Linked DNA regions of Notamacropus eugenii. The protein of the gene in region 1 purifies or fractionates together with the protein of each later gene. This does not show direct contact. Links are inferred from orthologs where the notes say so. Each region holds a gene or a part of one and is shown in the gene's direction. Other genes may lie near its edges.

The links.
Region 2: the proteins of USP4 (region 1) and DCP1B purify together in Homo sapiens (co-immunoprecipitation; 3 studies listed by BioGRID and IntAct, with this or other methods). This does not show direct contact. The link is inferred for Notamacropus eugenii from reciprocal best matches to the Homo sapiens genes USP4 and DCP1B.
Region 3: the proteins of USP4 (region 1) and RBBP8 purify together in Homo sapiens (affinity purification with western blotting; 3 studies listed by BioGRID, with this or other methods). This does not show direct contact. The link is inferred for Notamacropus eugenii from reciprocal best matches to the Homo sapiens genes USP4 and RBBP8.

Annotation. Positions count from the first base shown.
Region 1 is NC_092872.1:6,873,796-6,881,350, forward strand, and holds the start of USP4 (ubiquitin carboxyl-terminal hydrolase 4), read left to right. Parts: upstream 1-4,462; 5' UTR 4,463-4,562; coding exon 4,563-4,699; intron 4,700-4,705; exon of another isoform or gene 4,706-4,861; intron 4,862-7,555.
Region 2 is NC_092874.1:205,635,607-205,643,214, reverse strand, and holds the start of DCP1B (mRNA-decapping enzyme 1B), read left to right. Parts: upstream 1-4,593; coding exon 4,594-4,743; intron 4,744-7,608. UniProt on the Homo sapiens protein: May play a role in the degradation of mRNAs, both in normal mRNA turnover and in nonsense-mediated mRNA decay. May remove the 7-methyl guanine cap structure from mRNA molecules, yielding a 5'-phosphorylated mRNA fragment and 7m-GDP.
Region 3 is NC_092875.1:246,866,873-246,874,785, forward strand, and holds the start of RBBP8 (DNA endonuclease RBBP8), read left to right. Parts: upstream 1-4,850; 5' UTR 4,851-4,988; exon of another isoform or gene 4,989-4,995; intron 4,996-6,709; exon of another isoform or gene 6,710-6,848; intron 6,849-7,913. UniProt on the Homo sapiens protein: Endonuclease that cooperates with the MRE11-RAD50-NBN (MRN) complex in DNA-end resection, the first step of double-strand break (DSB) repair through the homologous recombination (HR) pathway.

The DNA of each region.
Region 1 (7,555 bases):
CCTCCTGGGTGCATTCCAGACTGTTAATGTCCTTTCAGATTGACAGTTCCAGAATCAGACACCATTCTCTAGCTATGCGATGCCCACAACAGTTTAAAATGATACTATCATTCCCCTCATTCTGGGTGCTACACCTTTATTATTTAAATTTTCAGTCGTAATGTTTTTAGAGCACTTTCCTTTCACATTTTCTCCCTCTTTCCCACTCCTCCTCCACTCATTGAAAAGGTAAGTAATGTATCATTTATACAAGTGATGCAAACCATATTCTCCATGTTGCAAAAAACCCAAACAAACCCCCAAATAAAAAACTCGACAACCTCTTTTATTAAAAGCAAGAAATGTACAGAAAGTGAAAAACTTATACTTCAGTCTGCACTCAGAGTTCATCTGTTCTCTCTCTGGAAGTAGATAGTATTTTTCATCATGGGTCCCTTGAAATTGTGTTGGATCATTGCACTGATCAGAGTAGCTAAGTCTTTCACAGTTGATCATTGTTACAATGTTGCTGCTGCTGTGCACAATGTTCTCTTGTTCATTTCACTTTGCATCAGTTCATATAAATCTTCCCAGCTTTTTCTGAAACTGTTCTGCTCCATCCTTTCTTATAACACAATAATATCCATCACAATCACATGCTACAACTTGTGTATCCATGCCCCAGTGGATGGGCATCCCCTCAATTTCCAATTCTTTGCCATCACAAAAAGAGCTGCTATAAATATTTGTGTACATACAAGTCCTTTCCCCTTTTCTCTGATCTCTTTGGGATATAGACCTAGTAGCAGTATTGCTGGGTTGAAGGGTATGTACAATTCTATAGCCGTTTGGGTGTAGTTCCAAATTGTTCTCTAGAGGTTGGACCAGTTCACAACCACAGTTGTATATAGTAATGTACGTAGTACATTAGTGTACCTATTTTTCTACAGAGGAAGAAAATTTTTAAAATTAAGCAAACTGCTCAATACAAAGATATATGCAATGTTCCACCTGCATGGATACCTCCTCCCTCTACTTCTACAAATAAGAAAAATGCATTTACTCATCTTTTCTTCAGTGCCAAACTTGGTTATTATAATTATATGGTGTTGCAGTTTTGGTTATTTCTCCCTCTGGACCCATTAATTCTACAGATGAAGAAACTGGAGCCTAAAGAAGGAAAATGACATGCCCAAGGACATATAGGTAGTAAACAGCAAAATTATATTTTGACCCCATATTTTGTTTCCAGATCTTGTACTGTTTCTTTTTTCCCCCAACATTCCCTTTTATAAGATTCTGAGTTCCAAATTTTTTTCTCCCTCCCTTACTTCACCCTCCCCAAGATGGCATGCAATCTGTTATAGGATATACTTGCAAATCTTGTACTCTATTATACTAGTCAAGTCAGCTATGACCTGAGAATGCTGCTAAGAAGAATCAAGGCAAGCCTTTGTTCCTCTCAGGCAGAGGTTCTTAACCTTTTCTGTGGAATAGACTCCTTTGGCTGTTTGGTGAAGTACATGTACTGCTGAAAGTCTGTCTTTAAAAAATTGAAGAAAATTCTAAATTTCAGTTTGTTGTTAGTGAAAGTAAAGATATAATTTCTCTCCCATCCAAGTTCCTGGACCCACTGAAATCTGTCTGTGGACCTGAGATTGAGAACCCATGATCTAAGAATCTGGAACTCCAGTGTTGAGGTGATCCTGTATATGTGATAGCAGCGATTCTTAGATTCTCACCCATAGTTTCTGTGACTTGTTGGATGCACGAACCCTGAGGTCAACACATTGGCCTGATTTGTAGACCCGAAGTCTCTTTATGTCCATTCCAGTTTCAATTAGAATGTGATCAGCTGCCCTGCAGAAGGAGGGTCATAAACCACATAAATCTCCAATTATAATGTTAATATGAGGAAAGTGCTTTGTATACCTTAAAGTACCACGTAAACCCATATCACTGTTATTAGGCTATCATGAAGCTCCCTGCTTGATATCTGGCTTATTGGTCAATCAGCTTCTGTGTGATTTCTTCCATTCCCAAAATTTGGATTTTTAAAAGAACAAGATACAACTGTCACATTATTCTTTGTAACCACTTCTAAATATCTCCAAAAGCTGATTAATATAGACTTTCTGAAATGTGCATTTAATTAGGTTTTGTCTTCATTTTTAGGAGCACTCCCAGGAATTTGTCCTTCTCACGAGTCTGTGGTTGCCATGATCAACAGGATGGAGGAGAAACTGATTTAGGAAGAAATTGGTGGCAAAAGAGCAGGGAGGTTGAGAGGTCCTTTCATCTCGGACACTTTCCTGGAACAGAGATTCACAACTGAGGCAGCAAACCCAATTCTTTTTCATCGTTATGTTAATAACAATATTGACAACTGATTTTTATAGAATGCTTTTTCACCATTTAAACTTTTCACTGTTTCACTAGAAAGTAGTTGTATTTTTGGGGGGTTGATGATACAGGCTATGCCATTTATAGTTATTATTTAGAAACATTACATTTATCCCTTTTTGAAAAGTTTAACATTTTAGTTTCTAATTGAATAGCTTTCTGGACTGATGATACCTTGGGTTCCATTCCATTGATTCGTCAGGGTTAGGGAGCCTAGGTTCAAATCCTGCTTCTCCCATTCGGTATTTGTCCTTCATGGTTGAACAGGACCAAAATGGCACTGCTATGTCAGAGTCAAGTGACAACTATCCAGCTGTGGATCAGACCAATATGAGCTGGGAATGTTCTACCACAGGTCGGGCACAAATAGTCCATGGGAACACTTGGAGTGGATTCTCTAAATTTGCCCATCCCAAATTTCATTTGAGCTACTTTAATTCTGCTTTGCTCATAGACCACAGCACTTTCTCTGATGAGAACATGCCATGCTGGGCAGTCCTGTGTCAGTGTCTTCCAGGTCACCCATTTATTACCCATAAAGAAGTGTTTAATTGTTCTTTATCTCCGTTTTCTCTCATGTGTGGAAGGCCTGAGAGGGTTGGGCTGCTAACTTTAAACTTTTTCAAACTTTTTGGTTTTAGGATTCCTTTACACTTTTAAACATTATTGAGGATATGCTAAAGAGCCTTTTTTAAAATGTAGCCTCTATCTTTGGTATTTGCCATATTAGAAACCAAAACACTTTAGTATTATGAAAATAGTTGTGATCTCAAGGACTTCTCTTTTTGAAAATCTCTGGTTTGGATGATTTTCCACTTCTCCTCAAGTTCTGTGTAATCCCCTGGGTTTTGCACCTTAAGTTTCTGTATTCCTAAAATGTGAGGGTTGGCTTTAGATGACCTCTGCCATCACCTGAGAACTCTCCCCAGTTCTAAGTGGCTGCCATCTTCTTTGAAATCCTAGCTCTCCTTCAGGCCCCGGTCAGCCTCCCTCCTCTAAGCAGGCCTCGGTGTCCCCCACAGCTGCCATTCCACTCTGGCTTTCATCGCACTTGGGGCACTTGTGTATAATGGTTCTGGGTTGGAGGGTTTTGTTTTTTGGGCTTATTTCTTCTGCTACATTTTAAGGTTCTTGAGGGTAGGAACTTCACTTTCTTTTTTTTTTTAAATCTGGTCCGTACCCAGGATTGCAGAAGAGGCTCGAGCAACGATAAACGAACGCCTGCATGTAAAACCCATTCATTTGTCCGCTTTCGAGCCAGCCTAAACTGGGCGCAGGAAGACGGTTGGACTTACAGGGGACACGGTCACGGGGGATCTTTCACGCGCGGTTATGGAGCCCGGTGTGCCAAGCCTTGGCTCACATCCAGAGGGGGGGTCCCTCGTCCCCCTCTCTCACCTCCGGCCCTTCCAACTCTTCCTCATCATCCCCTGGCAAAGGGCACGCGAGGCTCCTGCCAACATTGGGGGGCAGTCACATGCTGCGGGAAGGTGGGGGGGCAGACCCCGGCCCAGGAACAAAAGGAGGGCGTGTGTGGTTGTGAGCCCCAGCTCCCTTTGGGGGGTGCAGAAGCCGCAGAGCGCGGCGTGCCCGGCCCGGGATGGCAGGGGCGATGCCACGAGCGCAGGGGCAGGGCACGGGCGGCACGGGCAGCCTGCCGCTTTCTTTCTCTTTTCCCCGGCCACCCCGCTCGCAGCGGGAAGGGGCTTCGGGGGTGATCGGAGGCCGCAACCGTTACGGAAACACGCCCTAGGTGGCTCGGCGAAGGGGGGACCAAACTTGGGGGGGGCCCCTAGCGCCAGCTCTGGGGGGAAGGGAGAGAGGAAACGTCGGTTGGAGACCAGGAAGTAGCGGGGGTGGGGGAAGGCCGAGGAGCGGTTTGTGGGGGAGGGGCCGGGCGTGGCTCGCAGGCCGAGGCCGGGGTCGCCGCCCTTCCGCCCAGCCGCCCTGGCTGCGCGGTCCCGTTCTTGCGTTCTCTTCCGCCTTTCCCCCAGCCCCTCCCTAGAAGCGCGTGCCCGGCAGCGGGGCACGCGGACGGGGCGGGGCGCGTCGGGCGGACGCGCAGGGCGGGGCGCGGCCGGGGAAGGAGGCGGGGCGCGGCCGGCGCAGGGCGGAGCGCTCCGTGCGTGCGTGCGTGAGGCGCGTGGGGCGCGGCGCGGAGCGCGCTGTGCGCCAGGCGGATGTCCGGGCCGGCCGGGCCGGAGCTGGGGAAGGAGATGGCGGAAGGCGGAGGTTGCGGGCAGCGGCCGGACGCAGAGACCCAGAAATCCGAGCTCGGGGCCTTGATGAGGACGGCGCTTCAGCGAGGGGCGCAGTGGTGAGAGCCCGAGCCGCAGCCCCGGCGGGCATGTGGCCTGGCCCCGGCCCGGCCGCCGCTGCCGCGGTCCTCCCTGCCCGACCCAGGCCCTCGGCCCAGACGCGGCCTGCCGCTTCCCTTTCCGTCGCTCCCTCCCAGCCGCTGCCTTTCCTTCTGGCCGAGGCTAGTCTCGTAGATCCCCTTCCCTAGCCCAGCCCAGTCCCGTGGCCTGCCCGTGTTCCACCCCGGCCCAGGCCTGGCTCCGGAGTCTTCTCCATTACCCTCCCCCTGCCTCATCCACCGACCCTTCGTTCCCTTGTCCCCAGCCCCGGACGGCCCCCAGAGGCCTTTTGTCCTCCCTTCCCCAAGTCCAATGAGGCTCTTACGATCCCGCCCTAAATCATTCCCTTCTGCTTCCTCCGCCCTTTTCCGGGAAGCCTCTTACCCTGATCCTTCTCTAACCTAGTGCCTGACACTTAGTGGGTAGGCATGTAGCAAATGCTTGTCGCCTTCCTCCTTCGACACGCCCCACGTTTCTTTCCTGTTCCTCTCGAAGGTTTCACATCTTCGCTTGTCATGTTCTGGATCTTCAGTTTCCTTATTTTCCCTTATCTTTCCCTATCCCAATCCCTCCAGCTGAGTAATTTTGGACCCTTTAACGTTGAAACTTCTCTGGGAGGTGCCGTATTGCAGAGGGTAGTAACCCTCCGTTTCTGTGGCATGAGCACCCCGGAGGAAAGTAGCTTTGAGGGGAATTTTGAAGGGAGTGTTTGAGGAACTGGGTGCTGAGTAATCATAAACTGGTGCTCCTGGGAGTGGGAGCTGGAATAACCAGAGGTAGTAGGAATGAAGAAACTTCTTTAAAAGGAGGGCGTGGGGAAAGATGAAAGAGGATGTCTCTACCACTTGATTGGTTGAGGACTTAGAAGCCCAAGACAAGTAACTTGCATTAGTGGAAGGATTGTGGGAACTGTGAGGTGTTTTGGAGAGAGAATTGGTAAAATTCTCAAAAATAATTTTGGCAACTACATTTTGGAGTTGGAGAAGAAAGTGTCCAGGAAGCAATATTGAGTTGTGTTCTAGATATCAAGTGACCAAGGCTTACGTTGGGATTGATGATTGGGTTTTTTAGAGGAAGAAATGGAGCCATGAGTTCTCATGGTCCTGATGGTGTAATGGATGGATGATGGTATGACCAAATGAGGTAATATGTACTGTGCTTTGCAAATCTTAAAGCACTATACACACTGTTTAAAGGCTAGCTGTTTTAAGAACAGCTTTTAGCTGTTATTAGCTTTGACTGATGAAGAGCTAAATATAAAGCTCAAGTTTTGTCAGTAAAAAGGAATGGAAGTGATGTAAGATTGAGAGTGTGAATATGTCTTGCACACATTGGGTGTGTGTGTTGGGCTGGACTTGTAATTTAAAGTGTGTTGTGGATATTTTCTTACCAACAAAGAGAGTTCAGAGAATTGTCTGGAGCTTTTAGAATTTAGGTGACTTGCTCACGGTCACACTGCTAGTAAGTGTTGGTGGCTGGATGCCTTTCCCCCTCTCCTTTTTTCTGACTCCTTGGCTTTCCATCTATCTGTTGGCTCTCAACCCACAGCCACACTGCCCATCACTTTGCACTTAATGAGTTTGTTGAATTGACTGACATGATGTAAAGTAATAGGTAAGTTAGAGAATTTGCAGTGCGCTGTTAGCTCAGAGTAGCACCACCAAACCAAGCTAGCTTCAGGGATAGGTACATTTAGAAGGTGTTTGTGTGGTGATAATTCAGAAGAGATTCTAAAGACAAAAAGACCCTGGAGAGTTAGAAGGTGAACCAAGGGATGCCATTGTTTCCTCGAGAAAAGGAAATTTATTATGTTAACAAAACCCTGAATTTTGAGTAGCATTTTGATGAGGCTTGTGAGGAAATAGATAAGATCTTTCTAAAGCATGCCCTGCATCATACTGTTAGAATCACACAAAAATTTTTTAAATGCAGATTTTCCTTTTTCAGAAGAAGTGAATGAGGTGGTTAGGATGACAGGCAAAGTACGTTACATTTATTATACATTTATTCATTTTCTGCTCTCTGCTAGAGCATTGTGATAAACAATAGAAGGGATGTTCAAAATTGATGTAGAAGACAGACCCTTCCCTCATATAGCTTCTAGTTTAACCAGACATTAACACTTCCAAACACATTGGGGAGGAACTTCAGTAGGACCATAGCAGTGTCCTAGCCTTCATTGCCTGACACACAAAAAAACTGATTACAGAATAATGCATTTGAGGTTATTTAATCATAAAAATTATTCATTACTTTCTAGAATATACGTGTGTCACAATTCAAGTAGGAGGTTAGAAAGCTGAAGTTTGGTAGTGCATGCTAAACTTTACCATTGTATGACCTGAATTTGCTTGGAGAATTGTATATGAGGATCTGATATAGTTCCATCTATACGGTAGTTACTGTTAGTTGATTGACTGTATTAGTGAAAAAGGAATACAGGAATGTACTAGGTTTTCACTGATCTAGGTGGATGAAAATAGTTCTGTGGTTTCAATTTCTTCCCTGAACTCATTAGCTTTCCATAAATCCTGGGGGATATACCTCAGAAACTTGTGTTTTGCAGCTCTACAGAGTTTTTTCCCTCCACATTTAGTTGTAATATTTATTGAAAATGCTTAAAACACACACATGCCCCAGATTTGCTAAAATTTCCCTAACTATAAAAAGTAGCAGATTGAATGTAAAATGATAATTATATAGCTTGGCAAGAGGAAGGGAGCACAATTGGCACATTTCTATAAATACTAAACGCCTTACTTAATGCAGCATGTTCTATTTGAATGAACTTGAAGGGCTATCAGAAATATTACAGT
Region 2 (7,608 bases), on another chromosome or scaffold:
CAGTTGATTTTCCAGTGAGATACTTCACACTGTCTTTTATTTTTTCATTCTTTCAGTTTTGTTGTTTTTTTAATTTCTCATAAAGTCATTAGCTTCCATGTGTTCCATTCTAATTTTTAAGAAATTATTTTCTTCTCGCTCGCCTGCCCGCTCTCCCCGACAGCCTCGCGCGCCGTCGCCTCTCTCCCTCGCTCCGGCTCCCGGGAGGAAGACCCTCCTCCGTGCTCTAGATCGCAGCAGCGCCCAGCTGCTCGACTCGCCCTACTCCCCGCTCCCGCCCGCCCAGGGACCACACCGGGCTCCGGATCGTCCGCTTTGGAAAGATGGCCTCAGGAGTGCAAGTAGCTGATGAAGTATGCCGCATTTTCTATGATATGAAGGTTCAGAAATGTTCCACACCAGAAGAAATCAAGAAAAGAAAGAAGGCAGCTATCTTTTGTCTCAGTGCTGACAAAAAATGCATCATTGTGGAAGAAGGCAAAGAGATCTTAGTGGGAGATGTTGGCGTGACCATTACTGATCCTTTCAAGCATTTTGTGGGAATGCTTCCTGAAAAGGATTGTCGCTATGCTTTATATGATGCAAGCTTTGAAACAAAGGAATCAAGAAAAGAAGAGTTGATGTTTTTTCTATGGGCACCAGAACTAGCACCTCTCAAAAGTAAAATGATCTATGCAAGCTCCAAGGACGCAATCAAAAAGAAATTTCCAGGCATTAAACATGAATGTCAAGCAAATGGACCAGAAGATCTCAACCGGGCTTCTATTGCTGAGAAACTAGGAGGGTCCTTAATTGTAGCTTTTGAAGGATGTCCTGTGTAGATGGTCATGTCAGTGCCACAAGGCTGAAAAGCTTCCATGTTTAATGTATCTTCTTGCTAAATATGTAAAACAAATATACTTAGGCCAGGGTTTCACTGAGGGGGAGCTGTCTTGTTCTAGATTAAATGAGATATTATATAAACCTGTATAAAATAACCCTAAATAAATCTAAAATCTAAAAAAAAAAAAAAAAGAAATTATTTTCTTTATTTAGCTTTTGGACCTCCTTTTCCATTTGGGCAATTTTACTTTTTAAGACATCCTTCTCCTCATTGGCTTTTCGGACATCTTTTGCCATTTAGGTTAGTCTATTTTTTAAGGTGCTAAGAAAGGAAGGAAGGAAGGAAGGAAGGAAGGAAGGAAGGAAGGAAGGAAGGAAGGAAGGACATATAGCCAGTAAACCCCAAATGAAGGGGAGAGGAAGACAGAAGGGACAGGATAAGCTGGGTTACCCAGCTAGGTCCCCTCTCAGACAGCTCAATCTACTCACAGGTTGTGTTGGTCCTTCATTTTCAAAGACATGACATCAGAGAAATGATGACATGACTTGCACTTGACTTTGTTTTGAGTGAGGGAGGGCTGTGCAAGGTCATCAGCCTCACTTTCTTTTCCTGTACCATGAGAAAGATAATTTAAAAAATTATTGGACTACTTGAAAGCCATGATCAAAAAAAGGAGTCAAGACATTATCTTGCAAGGAATTATCAAGGAAAACTGCCCTAATACTCCAGAATCAGAAGGTAAAATAGAAATTGAAAGAATCCACCAATCACCTCCTGAAAGAGATCCCAAAATGAAAACTGCCAGGAACACTATAGCCAAATTCCAGAGTTCCCAGGTCAAGAAGAAAATATTACAAACAGCCAGAAAGAAATAATTCAAGTATTGTGGAGCCACAATCAGGATAACAAAATATTTAGCAGCTTCTACATTAAAGGATTGGAGGGCTTGGAATATGATATTTCAGAGGGCAAAGGATCTAGGATTACAACCAAGAATCACCTACCCAGAAAAACTGAGTATAATTCTTCAGGGAAAAAATGGACATTCAAAGAGATAGAGAACTTTTGAGCATTCTTGATAAAAAGATCAGAGCTGAATAGAAATTTTGACTTTCAGATACAAGACTCAAGAGAAGCATGAAAAGGTAAACATGAAAGAGAAATCATAAGGGACTTATTAAACTGCTTATTTTCCTATATGGAAAGATGATATTTGTAACTCATGAGACCTTTCTCATTATCAGGGTAGTTAGAAGGAGTATATATGACAGAGGGCAAGGGTCTGGGTTAAATATGAAGGGATGAGATCTAAAAAAATAAAATTAAGGGGTAAGAGAGGAATGTATTGGGAGAAAGAGAAAGCAAGAGGTAGAATGGGGTAAATAAACTCACATAAAAGAGACAAGAAAAATCTTTTAAAGGGAAGAGGGGGTAAGTGACAGAGAGTGAGTGAATACTACTGTCATCAGAATTGACTCAAAAAGGGAATAATATACACACTCAAGTGGGTATGGAAATCTATCTTACTCTAAAGGAAAGTACGGAGGAAGGAGAAAAGAAAAGAGAGGGCAGATTGAGGGAGGGGGTAGTCAGAAGAAAACACTTTTGAGAAAGGACAGGATGAAAGGAAAGAGAGAATAGAATACACAGGAGAACAGGATGGAGGGAAGTACAGTTAGTCCTTCACAACATGACTTATGGAAACATTTTACATGACTATACATGTATAATCTCTATCTAATTGCTTGCCTTCTCAATGTGGAGGGAGAGAATTTGGAACTCAAAGTTTTAAAAATGAATGTTAAAATTGTTTTTACATAAAACTGGGGGAAAATATAATGCTAATTTTAAAATAAAAGGAGATGGGCCATCTCATCAAGTGAGACAGAGACAGTGGCAGAAGTAGTGGAAATAGTGGCAAAAGGCATCTGGGTGATATGTGATGAGGAGGATGAGAGAAAAAGGAGATAATGTCAGTGAATGGCCTTAAGTTTTAGTAAAATATGAGATAAGGTTCTTAGCTAAAGGGTGAGGCTTAGGGAGAAGTCTTGAGAGATTTAAGAAGGGCTGAAAAGGTTTGGAAGAGTTATGGTAGTGAGTGGAACTGTGAATTGTTAATCAGAGATGTATAAAAGGATTGCCTAGTATTAGTGAAGACCTAGTTGAGATTATGTAACATATATTTGTAGTAGCCCCAGGCAACATAGTTTCAAGTTCTGTGATTTTCTCCAGCTTTATACAGTAGCAAATGTGTAAGAGGGAATCCAAGTGGGAGTGATCCAAGGCTGAGGCTTGGTTGGACAAGATTTGTGATAGGATAAGGGACTAGTCTTTCATGAGAAGGGTTACCCTCCCCCTTGAGAGTGATCAGAGGAAAAAGCTTTCATTCTGACCCTGGATTTGTACATGTAGGCTAGATATATTTGAGGGGTGGGCTATAATCTGAAGTCTGGACCACTTTTACAGAGAGTAGGATAATAGCTATGTCAACACCACCAGCAGGACAGCTGGAGGGGAGTACAGGTAAGGTCCAATATCTCTGAGGCTGAATGATCTCTGCTCCAGCTTTCAAAAGCCGTGTAGCAATAAAAGTATATCTCTAGTCCGGCTCTTAAAAATTCATGCCTTTGCCTCTTGGGAGTCTCTTTCAAAGTTCTCTCTTAAAATGTCTTCAAAGAATGGAAATAAGTCCTTTCCATTGGTACTGTTGTGCTCAGAGTTCCCTCAGCCCCTCAAGAGTACTTCAGGGACATTTAAAAAACATCAATAACCAATCACAGTGCTCAAGGAATGATGACTTCCTGGGGAAGTCATGAGATGAGGCTTAAAGAATAAAAGATTTGGAATACATTTGTAAAGGACCATTGGAGACATGAAGGTACCAAGTGTTGGTGCACATCAATTCACTTCAGAGTTGGGCACCAGCAACTGTCTGCTGTTGGAGAACTGAGCTGCGGAGAAGGAACCCACCTGTGTAGTCTGATTGGAGACTAATGAAAAATAAGGCCAAGGAAAAGGTGGGAACAAGTCTGCTTTGATTTCACAATGATGCATGGGGAGATTATACATTTGTAACAGATAGGAATTCACAATCATCTTTCTTTTCTTATTAAACACACTTTCACATTACTCATGTTACATAGAAGAATTAAAATGAATGGGACAAACCCTGAGAAAAAACTAAACAAAACTACATATAGCACAAGAGAAAATATTCTGCCTCCTTCTGTGATCCAATTCCGCATTCTTTTTCTGGATGTGGATGGCATTGCGCCCCAGTCCACCCGGATGTTTGAAGGTCCCTGCATTGCTGTGAAGGGTTAAGTCTACCAGAAAAGTTCCGGGGGCCCCACAATCATCTTTAGGTGGCTTCTCATAAATGAGCTGAAATAGTCCTAAGCCATTCAGTATCTGGCATCCCAACCAGCTCCTGGGGAAGGTCTTGTAAAAGTGAAACAAGGAAGCCACGCTGAGCAGGGAGCCCAAAGGCCAGCCTAAAGAAGAGATGAATGAGGTGGCCGTCTAGACCTGTTGTTGCCCGGGTTACAACATCCCCAGACAAAAATAAGCCGGCGTCGATTAGCGATGTCTGCCCCGGGAATCTAGGAGGAGAGGGAAAGACCCCCGACTCGCTTCGCCCGCGGGAGCGGTGGACGGGAGGGCCTGGTTTCCTCTCTCTCGTTTTCAGAATGCGGGGAAGTTCGCGCTTCTCGGCGCTCGATTGGCCGCGTCTGTCCGGTCTGCCGTGTGATGTCCGGGAGGGAGGGAAGATGGCGGCGGTAGCTGCTGGTGGCCTAGTGGGCAAGGGACGGGACATCAGTTTGGCGGCCCTGCAGCGCCATGACCCCTATATCAACCGCATAGTGGACGTGGCCAGCCAGGTGGCCCTATACACTTTCGGCCATCGGGCCAACGAGTGGGTGCGTGAGGCCGCGACGGGGCGGCCGAGGCCGACTCGGGCTGGGGGAGGGGCTGGGCCTGCGCGGCCTGGCCCCGGGGCCGGGGGCCGGGATCCCCGCTGGGACTGGAGGCTTGAGGCCGGCGGGGGCGGCGGAGGGGAGGGAGCGAGCCGACGACCTCGACCCCCGGGGCGGGGCGAGGCGGGGGCGGGGAGTTCAGGCCAGGGTCGGGGAGGGACGGTCGTCCCAGCCCAGGGGGGCAGGACCCAGCACTGACCCTTAGGAAGAGCGACGGCAGCTAAGCGTTTATAGTAACCTCAGGCGGGGCCAAACCTCCCTGCCAGGTTAGGGTGATTTTTAAAAAATAAGTTTTAGAATACTGAGTGCCAGCTAAAGGCATAGTCCGGTGATAGGCTCGTTTGGGAATGCAAAGACGAGCTGGACCAAATCCCAGCCCCAAAGTACAAGTAGGGAAAGGGTAAAGTTGGGGGAGAAGTCTGGCCTTTATTTCTGGGGTCAAGAGAAATCCATCATGCTGGAAGTTTGATGCTACCAGGAGTGAAATGCATGGTAGAGGGCTTGAAGTCAGCAGACCTGGGTTCAGATTCCAGCAAGAGAAATACGAAGCTGTGTGACCCTTGGCCAGCCATGTAAACTCTGAACCACTGTTTCCTCTGCAAAACGGGATAATAACGATCAGATGAAATAGGTAGTACAGGTATTAATCATCTATTTTTACACAGACCCAACATTTTCCTAGGTGGTAATTGTCTGAGTCAGAAAGAACTTTAAAACTTCCAATAGGTATTCAATAAATATTTCTTGAGATTGTTAATTTTTTTACTGGGATAGGAGACTAGAGGAATTCTGTAGATATGTAGGTGCTTAGATTTAGTAGAGTGTTTCACACACTATCTCATGCACTTGTGGAAAAGGTGAAGAAATGTAGTCTAGGCATGGTCTAACGTTTTGTCATCAACTTGGAAAGTCTTTAATGAAGTGCTCCTGGGATCTGTCCTTGGTTCTGTGCTTTAAATTGTTTATCACTGACTTGGATAAAGGCATAGATGACATGCTTATCAAATTTTCAGATGACACAAAACTGAGAATTAATGACACTAGTTGAGAGGCATGAGATTCAAAAAGAACTTGGTGGTCTAGAGCATAGGGCTGAATCTAATAAGATGAAATTGAATAGGAATAAATGGGAAGTTTTCCACCTGGACTGCAAAAATGAACCTCACAAAATTAAGATGGAGCAGGTTTAAACAGAGAGCTATCCAAATTTGCAGTGAGATTCTGTATATGTAAGAGAAAGGAGTTGATTTCCTTTTATTTGACTTTTTTATGTAAAGGCTGGATGAGAGCACTTGGTGGATATGATTTAAAGGGGTTTTGTTTTTTTTTTTTCAGTTATTGATAGCCTCTAAGGTCCCTTCTGATTCTGTTGTGAAATTCCTCCACCCCAGTCCTCCAGCATATAATCTGCCTTTGCCTAAGACAGTAATAACATTGCCATGATTTCTGCCTTTCCGTTATGCCAACAAATATTTCTAGGTAAAAGAATGAAGGTAGGAAGAAAAGACAGGATAAGACTTAAGGCATGGAGGGAGAGAAAGTTGAATGTTTAAAGTGGAGGTGTTAATGCCAGGCTAGTTCTTCCAAATGGGACAAGTTGTATTATTTTCTCTTTGGAACTGAATAATTTGAGTGCCTGAGTATTCCTTGAGTGAATTCCAGTTTCCCTGGCAGTTAGGGGATAGGATGTGATAACTAAGAAAATGTCATTTGTTGAAACATAGAGGTGTGTCTTTCTGCTTTTTGAACAAATTGCTATCAAATTCATATAACAAATGGTCATTCTCTTAAAGTATTGAAAACTCTTGCAACTAAAAGAAAAAAATAGTTCGGCTGTAAAATCTGAGCATATGATCAATGGGAGTTCATAACAATTGCCACTACTGTCACCAACTTCTGCCACTGTGGAATCTTTTGAGCGTGAAACTAGAGAAAACAGAAAATATTTGAGAGTTAAAGAAGAAAGTTTGCAGGAAGACAGGTGGATGCCCAGGGGACCAGTTACTGCTGTAAGCAAAATAAATGAGGACTGACCTAATTAAACAAGAAGACAAGTAGGGATTGGGGAGGAAGAATGGGCAAAGAATGAAGTTCAGTTAGAAAAGGAAATGAATGCTTAGGCATTGTTAAAAACATGTAATTTCCCACTGGACTAGGATATTTAAGGCAAGATTTCCTCACAATTGCCAAGAAGGCCTGTATCACACAAATATCTATGCAGCATTGAATGGTATACCGTGATGATTTTTTTCCCCCAGTTCTAATCATTTTCTGTTAGGACTGGTCCTCTTTGCTCAGAGGGATAATTTAAGCCCTGTGTCTCATCATTTGAGACTGTAATGACTAATGACATAAGTTAAAGTTATGTGAAAAGCCTTAGATATTTTAGTCTTGATGTCTGATAAGTCCCAACAGTTTGTAAAACAACAGAAAAATTTATTCTGTGGTTTATTTTTTTTTTATTTTGAGCTGCTTAGTATTTAACACAATTTGGCCTTTATAATGAAATTCAGTTAAAAAGATTAGATGCCATATTTTAACATGAAATCAAAGATTTACTCATTGAAACAAAGGTAGGCTATTTCTAGATGGAACAGAAATCTGTTTTAAACAACATATTTCCTTTTGCCATGAAGTTCACTAAAAGAGTATTTTGCCTTCTGCTGATTTGTATCCTTTGAACCTGAGTAGAACAGCTATTTGCATTTTCAAAAGATGTTTTATCTAAGTAGCCTAAGTATCTAAGTAGTACTTTAACTTGTTATCTCTTCAAATCTCTGAAAGTCTGAGTAATGAAAATTAGTTATT
Region 3 (7,913 bases), on another chromosome or scaffold:
TTATAGTGGGAGCTATGTGTCAGCAATTTGCATCCTTGAATATTCCACTCCTCTCCCTATACATACTATTGCAAACATTGTTTCTACAATTTCTGTTATAACATTAAAGCGCTTAAGGGTATAGTGGGGGGAAATGCCGGAACTTGGAGTCAGAATGACTGAATTTGAATCTTCACTTGTTATAAAACAGTTATGTAACAATAGACTTCTGTTTCCTCATCTGTAAAATAAGAAGTTAGTCTGGATGACCTCAATCAACTCCAGATTCATGATCCTAGAACTCATTTCCAGGTGCTTCCCCCTGCCTCAAGCAGTTATCCTCTTGTCTTTTTTTTTTTTTTTAACTTTTCTTCTGCAACAGTGCAAATAGCTCTAGTGCATAACTCGCTTTAGGATTAGTAGTTCTGTCTGGAGATAAAAAGCACTCATTAGTTTCTCTTATCTTTCCCTTAGGTCATAGTCTTCTTCATACCTGGTTTAAAATAATATGAAACAAAATTCTTGTAGTTTCCAGTAGTTCTTCCACGGAAGTCCTTCTCTGATGCTTCATCAAGTTCTGGATGAGATCCTGAGCTCTCAAAGGCTAGGCAAGCAGAATACAAGTTCTGGCAGGTCCTTCCAAGCTAGAAAAACTTTAAGTCTGGCAGGTGAGAGACTGTAATCTATTGTGGATCAACTAGTCAGGCCAAGTTTGAAGGGGACCTATTCACCAGGCTGGCCACAAGGTGATAAATTTCTTGCCTACAACAACACTTTAAGACCATTAGCTAAAGTTAAAGAGGGATCCAATCTAATGATAACAATGATGATGACGGTTTATATAGTACTTACTGTGTGCTAGAGCTAGACACTGTGCTAAGCTTTTTATAAATACCTTTTCTTTGATTCTCACAACTAACCCTAGGTGGTTGTTGTTAGTTGATTGAGTCATGTGTGACTCTTTGTGACTCCATTTGAGATTTTCTTGGCAAAGACACTGAGGTAGGTACTATTGTCCCCAATTTACATTTGAGGAAACTGAGACAAACAGAGGTTGTAAGTACTGAGAAAGTACTCAGGGTCACCAAGATAGTTAGTGTCTGAGGCCATATTTGAAAAGTCTTCCTGACTTCAGACCTAATGTTCTGTCTACCGTACCACTTCAACGTCTCAGTCTGGTATGGAGGGTGTGGGATGTGGAAGGTGGAGAATGGGGTGGGGTAAGACACACAGCAGTGAAATCATGAATTCTTTAAGAAATTAAATAAATGAAACTAACTAATTATAAGGATATAAGTTAACCATGTGCAACTTAAATTCAGAATAGTTCATATCTTCTGTACATATATATATATACACACACATGCACACATACACATATTTGTATGTATATGTATTGTTTGTTTGTTTTAAACACCAGGTATTAGATCTGACAGCTTAAGTCAGGATTTTTCGATGTACTAACTGGCACACAATAATGCTAAAGCAGTAACTCCCAAAACTTCTCTGCCTCCAAGGAAACAATTGCCTACACATGTACCTCCAAAATGATAAAGGGAGATAATATACTTCAGCTTCCTGGGGGAAAAAGAGGAGGGGAGAATTAGATCATTTTAATTCCAGAGAAGGAATTCATAAAGCTAATGAATTTCAGACATTGATCTCAATTCTGAGTTTTTATGAAGTCACCATAATTTACTTGTATCTTACCTAATCTACCTGTATCTTAATACTTTTGTTCTATTACCCAAAAAAGACCACTGATATATTTGAATACAGGCAGAATTATCTTTTCTCATTTCATTAATTAGCACTTCATTGTATTCATACAAGTACTTTACAGTCATTTAATTAGCTATAAAACATTCCTTTGAGAGAAGCCCAGAGGCAAGTTATTTAATTTATATATCCCCAAATGGCTGGAATTATAATTCAACTGGATTTTGGGGATCTATAACTGTGGTTTTCTTGAGAAATAACTATAAAATAATCCCAACACTTTCTCATTTTTATTTGATTTTTTCAACCTACTCAGGCTCACCAAGACATAAAATAACACAACATTCATGGGTCTGGTAGCTAATATTACTAGCACCTGCTTTACAAATTTCAGAAATCTGTGAGCACTGGATTTGGAGTCAGAAGACCACAGACCCTTAATTAGCTGTGTGCCTTAGTGGGTGCAAGTAACTTAACCTCTATTTGCTTCAATTTCTTCATCTGTAAAACTACTCCCCAGGATTGTTGTGAGGATCAAATGAGAAAATAACTGTAAAGTACTTAGCACAGTGCCTAGTACCTCGTAAGCACTATATAAATGTTAGTTAGCTCTGATTATGTGCATACTATTGAGCTTTGGAGGATGTAAATGTAATTGGAAGGAAGATTCTAAGGGAATTTACAATCTGATGATCTGGACTCTAATATATATGAATTTAAGTTTAAGGAGCTATCTTTTTGCTTGGACTATAGTCCAAGTAGTCTTTAGTGATGACTTCAGGCTTCTATTTTGCCTTTTCCCTTGTATATAGTTTCTGGAGAGGGCACAAAAAAGGGCTTTGAAATTGCATTTGCTTCCTCAACTCCACGTGGCCTGTAAGCTATCTTCTTTACTCTCGAAGAAAAGTTAAGAAACTGCTTCTTATAATGACTTCTAAAACAATTCCTTTTTTCTTGTTCTGAAACTAGTCATATTGAATCTAGTCCAAATTAGATGATGGCATTACAAGCCACCTTACTAAAAGATGCATAACACCTCTGCTAGAGTACGGGCTTCATGTAACTCAGTTTCCTATGTCACTGTGTAAACTAAGAGAGGAAAAAAATTATATATCCCTCCCCAAAGAAAAAAAGACCCTCTTAACTCTGCTATGTAACATACAACAAGCCCATTAATACAGGATTTCCTTTCTTGACGTAAAGCATTTAACTCCAGTCCTCAAAAATACTTAAGATTTTAATGCTTTCAACTTTGCTTAAGTGTAGCATATTTTATTTAAAATAACACTGTTATTTTACAATTTTCATAAAGAACAAAATAAGCATTATTTAGTCAGTATTCCTTGGCTTAATTTCGATTATTCTTAAAGATAGAAAGCACTTTCTTCATATGCAAGGTGGGTGGCAAACATGAAGAGCACTTTATGTCAGATAAATCTTGCCATAAGTACCATAAAGAAGTGAATATTTTGGGCCAGTGCATAGGATTATTGTACCATAGATAAAAATTTTTAGCTTTTCAAAACGTACCAGCTGCCTTAAGCTTCTCAATTTTTCCTCAAATTAATTATTTCATCGTTTTTAGCAAAACAGATTGGGTTTTGAGATAATGAAATTCTACTAGGTTCTGTTATATCAAACAACTTAAACCTTCTTCAGTCTATAGATGTAATAGTTATAGGAGATAAAAAACCAACTCAAAATTCTCAGCACAATTGTGTCCAGTATCACCTAATTTTGTGTTTGGTATTGGGCTCATTTTCTCCATTATATGTAAAGCCATATATTGAATTTAGCTAGATTATTTTCTAAAATAACTCAAATATCCTGAGAGCTAAAGCTTAAGGAAGACAGTAGTGAAAGAGTCAATGAATACAAAGCTCTTCAAAATTAGGCTCCAACCTGCTTTTTCCAGATTTATCCAGTTAGCTCTTTGACACACACCACCATGCAGAGCCAAACTGGCCATCCTACCCTTCCTCGAACATAGGATACTTAGTCTTTCCACAAATTGCCCCCCAAGCCTGGAATGCACCCCCTATTCACCTCTACCTCACAGAATCCTTAGTTTCTTCCTGTGCTCGCCCCAGATCATCACAGCATGGTGTTTCTCCTGATCACAACCACCTTACCCCCAATATATTAACTTAGAGTTTGTGTATATTTTGTGATAATCATTATATAAAAATATTTTACAGTTCTATACGTTCATACACGAATATAGTCATTGAGGGCATTTCCCTATTATTTTGAAATGTATCCTCCAGACCTGGCAGGGTGCCTGATTCCTAAAAAATGCCCATTTACGATTACTTCGCAATCGAAAGACCAGGGGTAGTCGTCTAACTCCAGTCACTTCCGTCACACTTTGGGGGCCTCCGCTTACTACCTTTACTTCCCAGTAAATCAGATAACGCGCACCAAGCCCTCCGCACATCCTCCATCAAAAGGCCCTTCTTGGGCACGACCTGTAAGACCCACAATTGCCCAGCGCGGGGCTCTCGACCTTTTTGTGCCATACACCTCGTATGCCAGTCTGGTAAAGCCTACGCATCCCCTGGGGTATTTTTTTTAAATACTTTGGTTTTTTAAAATTAGGTTAATTTATAAAAGTAGGAAATGCATTATAACGGTTAGTGAAGAGAAAGATTTCGGCTGTTCGGGTTGACATTTTTTCCCATCCAAGTTCTGATACCTCCTGAGACCTCTGCACAGATGCCCGGGGTTTCTGCCCCCTCCAAGGTATCCCCCAAAGGCCTCTGCCGGCCCGACTTTTCTTCGCCCAAACCGTTAGCGCTAAGACGAAGCCGGCCCCTCGCGCCCCGCCCGCCCTTTTAAGGAGGGGCGAAGGGGCGGGGCCTGGCGCGAGCCGGGGAACCGAGCCGAGGCGGGGGGAGGACGGGGAAGCCCAACCTCGTGACGTCTCGCCGCGTCCCCGATGAAGGGGCGGGGCCGGCTCGGGCCGGCTCTTGGCAGCTCGCACCAGCTATCTTTCCCTCCGCCCCTTCCCCTCCCCCCCAAAAGCGCGGGCTGGCCTCAGGGCCGAAGTTCCGCTGGCCGGGCTCGGACGCTGGGGGAGGGGGGGGAGTGGAGAGGGCGAACGCCTCACTGCAGTCCTGCTCCTTTACCGGGACCGCTTCTCCGTCTTGCCGACGCCCGGAGGTCTTTGTGCGGAGTCCGGCTGCCCCGCGTTTCCCCGGATCTTTCGGTCCCGTTGCCGGGAGTTCCCCCCACTTCCGGTAGGGTGGCGAGAAGCCATCCCCCGTCTCCCCCCACGAGCGCGCCCTGGGGTAAGTGGTGAGTCGGCTTTGGGAGCGTGCTGGGGAGGAGTGGGTGGAGGGCGGGCGAGTGCCAGGACTCGGGTCCCGGCTTATGGTTCAAAGTGATCCCAGAGAGGCTGCCCTGTGGTTCCACGCCTTCGTTTGCCGGATGAGGAAACTGAGGCCCGGAGAGGGGCCGGGCCCGGCCCCGCCCCCTGCCCGTGCCCGCTGCTTACGGGCTTGCCCTCCTGCCGGGCTCGCTGAGGTCGGGGGCGCGGGACCGGTCCGCTGTCCGGTCTTCCCCCCATGAGTGGAGCGACTTGCCAGGGAGACCCGAGGGCGAGAACCCGGCTGCGTGCCCGCGGCGCCCGGTGCCCGGTGCGGGGCGAGCCCTGAGAGCGCCGATGGAAGCTCGTCCGTCAGGGCAGGGTTGCCTTCTCTTTTCTTTTGGTCTTGTAAAGCACTGAGATTGTCTCGTCTCGTCTCAGTTTAAATTAAGTGAGATAACTCCCGCCTCTGTGTCTAGCTCCTTATCTTTGCCCTGAGCTCTAGTCCTATGCAGGCTCTTCATACAGTTTTAAACTAAGCTGAAAAGATGTTTGCGAAACCTTGTTGGACATCTTTAGTGCCTGAATTTCAGTATGTCCTCCTTGGAGCCCCAAACCCTGAATGCCCTTCGAACTGCTTCGTCTGAAGAATTGCCAAGACCTGTAGGTTCTGCCTTGGCAGTCTCTCCAGACCACACGTTACCACTGCCTTAGTTCAAGGCAGTCCCTCTCTCCCTTTACCTTTCTCGTGGACTGTTGCAGTAAGTTTCCTAACTAGTTGCCCTGCCTTCAGTCTCTCATCTCTTTAAAATGTTTTTTATATGTTTGTTAAAATGACCCTCCTGATGCGTTGATCCCATGTTGTCATTCCCCTTTTGCCTGTAGGATAAAATAAAAACTCATTTACCTAGTAGTGAAAGACCTCTAGAATCTGATTCCAAACTACCTTTGCTACCTTATTTCATTCTACTCCTATTTGCTTAGGTGTCTGTACTCCTTCCGGCCATATGCATAGACTGCCCCCCTTGTCTAGAATACAAGAATCTGTAGATTTCTTGTTCACAAACTCTTCTTTCAAGTTTCACTCAGCTCAGGTGTCACCTCTGTGAAGTGTTCTATTACGTACGTGCTCCAGCCCTCTAAAGTGATCTGTTTCTACATTTTGCTTGCCACTTTCTCTAGATCTTTCATATAAGATTTAGTATTAAAAGAGGTCTTGGAGATTTAGTCCAGTTCTTTTTAAAAAATGATTAACCCTAGGCCTAGAAAATACACATGGCTAACGAACCAGCAGAGCTGCAATTTAAACCCAGATGTGCTAACTCTAAATCTAGTACTTCATAAAACTTGTGTATGTGTGTGTATGCTTTGTATACATATAAAGGGTTTATCAAGCACTATATATGCTTGATATATATGATATATATGCTTGTATATACACACACATATACATGATTTATAAAGTCCTTTACCAAAACAGTCCTGCAAGGTAATCTAACTATTTACAGCAGAAAACAGTGCTGGATCAGTCAAATCTTGAATTCAAATATTGGTTCTTGTACTACTTCCTGTGTGATCCTGAATAGATCATTTGATTTCTTTGAGCCTTATTGTCCTGGGTAATTACATGAGGATGTTAGATTAGATGACCTCAAAGATCCTATCCATTCCCAAATCTGTGAAACTCTGATCCCCATTTTACAGATAAGTAAACTGACACGTGACTTGACTATGATTACACGGCTAGTAAAATGTTGGAGCTGGAATGGAACACAGCTCTCCTAACTGCAAGCCTTAACCACCCTTCATCACATGCAGCTGCCTCTAGAGTGAAGGGTAAAGGGTAAGTATCGAGCACAGACTGTGATTGTCTGTCTTATCTATCACATTAGATTGTAAATTCCTCAAGGACTGAGACTTTCATCTATTTATCCTTAGCATCACTGCTTTGCCACCTAGTGGGTCATTAACATATTGGCTAAATTGATAAGGTTCATAATTAATTTTACACTCAAGATAACAGATTAGCACAGTTCTAGGGAATACAAAAGTATAAGACACCACACTTGTCTCATGAGGAACTTAAAATTTAATTGAGGAGGTAGCATATTTTAAATATTTAAAAGAATTTGACAAGGTAAATGCTGTAGAAATTCAGGATAGGAATGGTTCACTGCAAGTTAGAATTTCCACATAGGATCATAGATTTTAGTGCTGAAAGGGAGCATGGGGGCATATTGATAAAGGATTTTAGAATTTATGAAAATAAAATAGGTTATAGTGCAGAGAATACATAATTATGTCTTCTGTAGGATGACTCCTATAAAGTAAATAGCTTTCTTTTATAAACTGTAGTAGGCCTAAAGGATAGGTGGGAGATCCTAAAAGTTTTATCACTCATGATTGTATCGAAATATAGTGCATTGTTTCACAGTTTATCTTTTCAGTTTTATTATCTGAAAAGCATGTTGTGTCTTTTAGAGATACTTAATCTCTATTGCCAAGTACAGAAATTTTGTTACAGAGAATTAGATCTAGCAGCCCATTTAGGTTTTTTTTTCCCCTTGTTTGGGACTATCGATTTCTTTTTTATTTTTGTTCTCCTTTGAACATTTCACAGAATCCACATTTTACTTGTGTCATACTGATCCCCAGGTCATATTCCCCTACTTTCTTGGCTTTTAGTACCAGGTTCACAATATTAATTTCCTTCCCAAATCCTGTTCTACTAGGGGACTTGAATAGCCACAAATGTTCCATTCTCCCAATTCTTCAGTCTCAAGTCCTATAACTCACTTCTTTACCTCAGTCACATATAGGGGGAATCACAAACTAGAATTCATTACTAATCCTCACATACTTCACTTCCCTAATTAGAATCTCTGACATTCCCCTCTCTGACCATAAT